2 linked regions of the Stegostoma tigrinum genome follow. The protein of the gene in region 2 interacts with the protein of the main gene of each other region in a biochemical or structural test. Links are inferred from orthologs where the notes say so. Each region holds a gene or a part of one and is shown on either strand. Other genes may lie near its edges.

Evidence for each region. The genes of interacting proteins can lie anywhere in the genome.
Region 1: the proteins of bdnf (region 2) and sortilin-like form a complex in vitro, tested with the Homo sapiens proteins (2 studies listed by BioGRID and IntAct, with this or other methods). The link is inferred for Stegostoma tigrinum from reciprocal best matches to the Homo sapiens genes BDNF and SORT1.

What each region holds. Positions count from the first base shown.
Region 1 is NC_081374.1:17,176,699-17,180,449, forward strand, and holds the start of sortilin-like, read right to left. Parts: upstream 2,753-3,751; 5' UTR 2,586-2,752; coding exon 2,379-2,585; intron 1-2,378.
Region 2 is NC_081370.1:53,222,325-53,226,075, reverse strand, and holds the start of bdnf (brain-derived neurotrophic factor), read left to right. Parts: upstream 1-1,421; 5' UTR 1,422-1,513; coding exon 1,514-1,534; intron 1,535-3,311; exon of another isoform or gene 3,312-3,457; intron 3,458-3,471; exon of another isoform or gene 3,472-3,568; intron 3,569-3,751. UniProt on the Homo sapiens protein: Important signaling molecule that activates signaling cascades downstream of NTRK2. During development, promotes the survival and differentiation of selected neuronal populations of the peripheral and central nervous systems.

The sequences.
Region 1 (3,751 bases), on a different chromosome or scaffold from region 2:
GATGGGTGCAGATACACAACAGTTGCTGGCCTAGCAAGTAACACTCAGGTCCCGTGAATTAATTAAACTGGAGTAACACGATGGCTCAGCGGTTAGCACTGTTGCCTCACAGCACCAGCAACCTGGGTTTTAGTCCAACCTCGGTGACTGCGTGGAGTCTGTACATTCTCCCGCTGCCTGGGTGGGTTTCCTCCCACTGTCCAAAGATGTGCAGGTTAGGCGAATTGGCTATGCTAAATTGTCTGCAGTGTCCAGGAATTGCAAAGTAGGTGGATTAATCATGGGAAAATATGATTTGACAAAATACTTCAATAGAATTTGTTCAGAGATGGAGCTAAACTGTATTAAATTATGTCACAAGCATTAATAAATCTTCTGCCAATTTATGATTTTATATTTCCTATACTTTAAAAAGGGAAATTAAAGGAATAGCCAAGCCACTTATTTAAACAAAGCAAAGCTGTTCTCAAAATTTAAAGCTGGTTCTGACTAAGTGTTTGATATCATGGCTTTGAAACTATTCCAGTTTCCACCTCCTACTTTCTTTGATTACTGTATGCCATCAGTGCCAACATCAAGGCACCAGCATCAACTAGAAGTAGATTAACAACTGGGTACAGACAGCACTTCAAGAGATGTATTAATATAAATTTCTTAAAATTAGAACAAAAATAATTACTACTTCTAAACACAAAGCTAAAAAGTAAATAAATGTGTCACCCACAGAAGCGATAAGCTAAAAACATTAAAATAGCAAGAAAAATTGCTCAGGTGAAAAGTGATGCAAAGGATTTCACGCAAGAAGCAAAGATAGTTCAAGAAGGCGAGTGTGTGAGTTCAGCTACACAAATTAGATAAACAGCAATTAGATTATAGACAGTGCAACACAGAATCAGACAGTACAGAAGAGGCCCTTCAGCCTGTCAAGAATGCACCAAAAAAAACCTCTAAATCTGTACTCAGATATAACAAAGTGTGGAGTTGGAGGACCACAGCAGGCCAGACTGCAGAGGAGCAGGACAGTTATGTTTCAGGTCGGTATCCTTCTTCAGAAATCTTCTTGAGGAAGAGTTCCAACCCAAAACATCGACTTTCCTGCTCCTCTGACGCTGTCTGGCCTGCTGTGTTCCTCCATCTCCACACTGGGTTTCTCTGACTCCAGCATCGGCAGTTCTCACTACCTCTAAAACTGTACTCATCCCACTTTCTAGCACTTTACTACTCGAGATGAGATTCCCAACTAGAAACGGGACATGAAATGCTATACTCCCACTTACCACAAATTTACAACTGTTTCACGAATGCAACAAAAATGCAGCATAACTCAGGAAGGGAAGTTATCATGCACATACAATAAGAACACAGTTGCAGTAGTTTCACTACATTTTCACTTTTCTTTAAAATGTTATCAACATTGATTAAAAGTTTGTGATTTTTTTTCAAACGATTATATGCAAAAAAGTGACTTTTCATATTTGCTTCATGTAGTTAACTAATTCTGAAAATTTGAGAGAGTTTGGATTCACAATCTAAATTTATCAACACACTCCTGAAGCCTCACTGTCACTTAAATTTCTGCTCTCATAAGTGCGGTTTTATTTTCAGCACCATAAACCCAATCATGAGAGTGTGGATGTTTAATTGTTATCATTTTATGAGAAAACTCCAATAAACATCTCTCCCGAACTTGACGCAACCAAATTGGACGGCAGGTTCCCAATAAACGATGGTTTGAGAAAATCCAAAACGCCTAAATCGGTAAACAGGCTCGATGTGAAAGCTCGGGGGAATACCAATTAAAATCTTGATCTGCCGTTTGAAAATTACATTCATTAGGGGTGATTTTTAAGGCTTGCTTTGGGCAAAGACGGCAGTGAACATGTTTACTAATTCTGATGCACTGAGCGCTATTTTTAAAGTTACACAGACGCTTCACGTTTCTTCCCTTCCTACAAGCAGCACCGCGCCTGTTCCCACATTCCAAGGAAGGCAACACGCCACTACCTCTTCCAAGGCAGTGAGGGATGGACAGTAAATGCTGGCTCACATACAACGACTGAATAAAAAAACACTTTTGGGGGTTTGGGGAAGAGGTGGAAAACAAGCGTTGGGCATATTCGTGAAAATTGTTAAAAAGACAAACTCTAACACAACCTTGTCAGGTAAGAGAAAGAAAGGGGATACTCTGATGAGCACATTCAACGGATTGAAATACATGGATTATGTCAGGTTTTTTTTGTTTTATTAGGAGGGCCACACGGAGGAAGGGTCACAGGACCCGAAGCGTTAATTCTGTTTTCTCCCTCCACGGATGCTGATAGACCTGCTGAGTTTCTCCAGCATTTTTGGGTTTTTTTTTTAAACACGCTGCGACTCACCTTGTGGGTGTGGGCTGTTAAATTCCTCTGGAATCCTTGCCACTCTTGGCAGTTGGTGGTGGTGGTGGAGATATTCCTCTTGTGCAGCCTCTGGCCGCTGCTACCGAGGAGCTGCTTCCCGAGCTCCACCGCCTCCGAGAGCCTGCCCTGGAAATCAAACACGGACAGGGACAGGAGCAACAGCAACAGCCCCGCCACTGCCCTCATGGTTTAACCTCTTTCGCTTCTTCTACGCCGGTCAACCTTCGGATTTAAGGCTACTATAGATGAACATACGTACGTGCAAAATATCAAAACGACATTACAAAACACCACAACAGTCCAACCCCCGCAGGTTTAAAGCACCAACAACAAACTGGCACCCGCCCCACCGGACGTCCCGCCCCTGGCAACGCCTCCCTCCAACCAGCATCGTGCCCCACCTCCACGCTGTCTATTGGCCTCCCGCCCTGTCAATCAGCACCTTAGGCCGGGAGAAGCCTGGTCCTTAAAAGCTCCCTACAGGTGCTCGGGTTGATGTTTGCTCCTTCCACACAGAAGCCTGGATGCACTGTCACAGATTCAATATTTACCTTTCACCCTCCGTCAAATGTGCTCGTTCCTTCGGAGATAGTAGGAACTGCAGATCCTGGAGAATCTGAGATAACCAGGTGTAGAGCTGGCTGAACACAGCAGTATCATAGGAGCAGGAAGGCTGACGTTTCGGGCCTAGACACTTCGTCAGATTTGGGGGGGAAGGGGGCTCTGAAATAAATAGAGAGGGGGAGGCGGAGAGAAGATGGGTGGAGAGGAGACAGACAGGTCAAAGAGGCAGGGTTGCAGCCAATAAAGGTGAGTGTAGGTGGGGAGTTAGGGAGGGGATGGGTCAGTCCAGGAAGGACAGACAGGTCAAGGTGGGGGGTGGGATGAGGCTGGTAGGTAGGAGATAGGGGTGGGGCTTGAGGTGGGAGGAGGGGATGGGTGAGAGGAAAAACTGGTTAGGGAGGCAGGGTTTGGGATGTGGTAGGATGAGGGTAGATTTTGAAGCTTGTGAAATCCACATTGATACCATTGGGCTGCAGGGTTCCCAAGTGGAATATGAGTTGTTGTCCCTGCAACCTTTGGATGGCAGCATTGTGGCACTGCAGGAGGCCCAGGATGGACATGTTGTCTGAGGAATGGGAGGGTGAGTTGAAATGGTTTGCAACTGGGAGGTGCAGTTGTTTACTGTGAACTGAATGTAGGTGTTCTGCAAAGCAGCCCCCAAGCCTCTGCTTGGTTTCCCCAATGTAGAGGAGGTCACAATGGGAACAGTGGATACAGTATACCACATTATAAGATGTGCAGCAGAACATCTGCTTGATGTGGAAAGTCTTCTTGGGACCTGGGATGGG
Region 2 (3,751 bases):
CGATAGTTCTCGATAGTTAAGATAACCACGTGTGCAAGAAGTTAAGTTAAACTACTTTTCGAGACAGGGGCAAAAAAGTTCTGTTTTTTTAAAAAACAAAATCAGACGCGTTAACTTAACCCAGCATACTGTCCTCACTGTGTCTGAACTGAGTGTTCTGAAAAGACCAGTCATATAGGATCTGATAGCCCGCTATTTCCAAAAGCAATTATTTCCTTAATTCATTAGAATCACGTAAGCCCCAAAACGTCTCCCTGAGCGAATGTGTTGCGTAAATGTAGAAGCTTAAATCACCTCTGCGTACGTGTGCCTTGCAGTCACTAAGGTGTCGGGGATTTCAGCGGCGGATATTGCAAAGAGTTATTACATTCATAACTCACAAGTAGTGGGCGATTGACTGAGCAAGCAGAAGTTCACATGATGACTTCAAACAAGGCGCATTACCTTCCAGCATCTACTGGAGAGACGGGATTTTAATCCTCTTCGCTTTCCTGGGCGGTTACTAACGATGGTAAGCGGATTGTCAGGGAGGGGTGGAGGGGTTGGGGAGGGGGCGGTTTTGGTCAGTAACTGCGATCGCCCTTATTTTTTTTAATAACGCCACGTTACCATTGGAAGGTGAGAGAGCATTTCTCACACCACTGGGGGATATCGCCCGCACACACACACGCATACGCCCTCCACTCCCCCCCCCCCCCAGTTAAGTTAAACTCATTCCTTTGGAAATCTACAATTGATTGGAGATTTGGTGGGCGATCAGAGGCAGATATCGACAGTGGTGCAGTGACACTGTCTCTACCTCTGGACCAGAAGGTTTGAGGGCTCAAGTCCCGCCGGGAGGTGTGTCTTGTCATCTTTTGGTAATTGAAAATATAAAGAGGGCAGCAAGAACTGGATGGTAACGCCGGGTGTTGGGTTTCTGGGGGTGCAGTTCAGTACAGTATGGTGACTTACCCCGCAAGGAGCTGATCATCAGATCTTACTGGGGTTCGGGCGCGGTGGAGGGGGGGGGGGAGCAGACTGACTGGCAAAGCCATATTCACGTGACACGGCGTGGGTAAGTCGCATCTGATACAAATATGAAGTCGCAAGTGCTGAAAATAGAAGTGTTATGGAGTATTTGGGGAGGAGGGTAGCGGGTCGGAGGAAGGGAACCATTAGCTGCTTCTGGGGTCCTGACGCGAGTCTCAGGTGTGTCTCTCAGCACCCGGGACAGCCTGAGCTGTCTCGGCCTCGGGGATAAGAAAAATCAACTCTATCCAAAGATATCGCGTCACCAGACGGTGATTGCCACGAAGGAGAGGGTTAGATCTATAAAAAAAATCTTTCAAAGCTGACAGCGTTACTACGAGACCAGCTGAGGCGCAGAGCTGATGGTTGGAATTTTTTTTAACAGCTTGGGCGAAGTTTATTACGGTACAAGCAGAGTGTGAGGAAAATATCCTGCGAACAGGCAAGGTCACTGTATTGTAACTTTGTGAAATGGAAGGGTTGATAAGGATGGTTTAATGTGATGCCGTTTGCACATAGCAGGGTAAGTGAACAGCATCTGCCGTGTTGTTTTCTCGCCCAATCTGGCTAGCAGTAAGGATCTTCCCTGTGTATCCCGGACAGGGGCCACTTGCATTTTGAGCTTACTTTGGTTGAGGGAGATCAGTGATGTTGCAGAGATTGGAAGGTTCTCTTGTCAAGTCCCACACACACACACACACGCACACGCACACACACACACTTAGCCTGCTTCATTCTGAGAGTTCATCGCATTTTCTGAGCCAGGCGAAGTGTTTTTGTTCCAATATTCTTCCTGTGCCCGGCTTGCGAGAGAGAACTGTAGGTGCAGGAGAAGGTTAGGTTCAAAGTTGCGTGTCAGTGAGCAAGGGCTGTTTAGCGAGCGGGCGCTCCAGGCAGGGATAGAGAAAGGGACTCTAACTCCAGGAGGTCTGGTGCTCTGGCTATTTGGGAAGGACTACCCCGCAGAAGCTGCATACTACCGCACACCTACACTTCACAACACAAGAGACTCGCAGCAGCAGACGGCGCTGTTTTCAGCAAAAACCCAAATCCCCACAACACCCTCCCCCATCAAAACAAAAATCCTTGCAGTTGCCCTGACAGTGATCAATGCAGGTAAGGGTCTAAGGCAGGGCTCCCGATTGGAGAGAACTCGGTATCAGCCAAAGCTAAATGCAGTTGCAGAATGTTAGGGACCGCTCGATACCCTCGGTGTTGAACGTAACTTATTATTTCACACAAACACACACACACACATACACACTAAACATGTTTCAGACTGGAGCTTGGTTTGGGTGTGGAAGGGATTTGCTCAACTATACCCAGCGTTACAATAATGTGAAGCTGCAGATCACCGTAGCCGACGGGGGCAGAAGGATAATTTAATAAACAGTAACCGATTGTCTTTAGGAAGTGGTCTCCGGCCCCTTCCTGATGTGCTGTGCCTCAAGAGAGGTGACCTTTAGTGTGAATGTTGATTTTGATTGTTCGCTGGGGTGGGCGGGTTGGGTGCGACTGGTCACTAGACATAACTGTATATACAGACCGCGCGCTGCTGAAGTTAAGAGACCAACTCTCCTTGTCTTTCTTTTGTCATTTCTGGTTTCTGGGCTGACTGTATTCCAGAATGCAGCGTGTGAAGTTTGCCTCAGGAGCTAGACTCATTCCACAGGGATTGACGGTGTGGAGAGGGGATGGGCTATTGGAAATCGGGGGCATTTTGTGATATCGCCCTTACTATCAGGGTACAGGCGGTGAGAGTGTAGACCCTTTTCCCGATAGAAACCCAAACATCCAATGTACTAGATTTAACCAGCTAATTCCCCACCCCCCCACCCGAACACCCCGGTCCTACACAAAACAAAACAGCAAGGGAAATGTGAGGCTGGATGAACACAGCAGGCCAAGCAGCATCTCAGGAGGATGCTGCTTGGCCTGCTGTGTTCATCCAGCCTCACATTTTATTATCTTGGAATTCTCCAGCATCTGCAGTTCCCATTATCTCTCACAGCAAGGGAAAGGTGATTTCCATCTTAGACCTTAAGAAACGGGAAGCGGAGCAGGCCGCTCGGCCCGGTGAGCGTGCTCCCGCTCCTACCCCGTGTGCTAACGCTCCCACATTAAGCCAGACAGGGGGAACTGGTCCTTTCTTTTTCATTCAGGACGAGGAAAAGTATTTTCCCTTCGCCGGTTGCCAGTGAGACAGCAGAGACGAGGCTTTCATTGGATGCCGGTTGCCATGGCAACGTGAGGAGCAGCCTTGCCACAGGCTCTGTGGTTCTCTCCCTCGGTCCCTGTGACGGTGATGCCCGCAGTTTGGATTCGCTCTGAGCAGGTCCCCACCTAAGCGTGTTGCTGTCATCAGCGCTCCACTTCAGCCCGCTGTGTCTACTGTTACACCCAGGTCCCCTGGCACCAGATCGTAAAGGAAACCAACAAAAAAAAAGTAACTCCCCGTCAAAACAGGGTTTCTTCCAGCTTTGGGCACCAGCTGCGCTACCGCAACTAAACAGGTTCCTTCCCGTGGCATTGAAAGCGGAACAGTTCTGAAAAAAAAGTGAGAGCGAAGGAATCGCCTCTCTCCATCTTAGCATCTCTGAGTGTTTGCTGCATGTGAGGGTGGATTTTGATTCAGGCTGTTATTGTCCGGGGTCGACCTGGATACGATGGTCGTAGAAGAATTCTGAATTGTGTATAGAACGGGATTTGCTCAGGTCGTCTGTAAACCCAATGGTTTGTT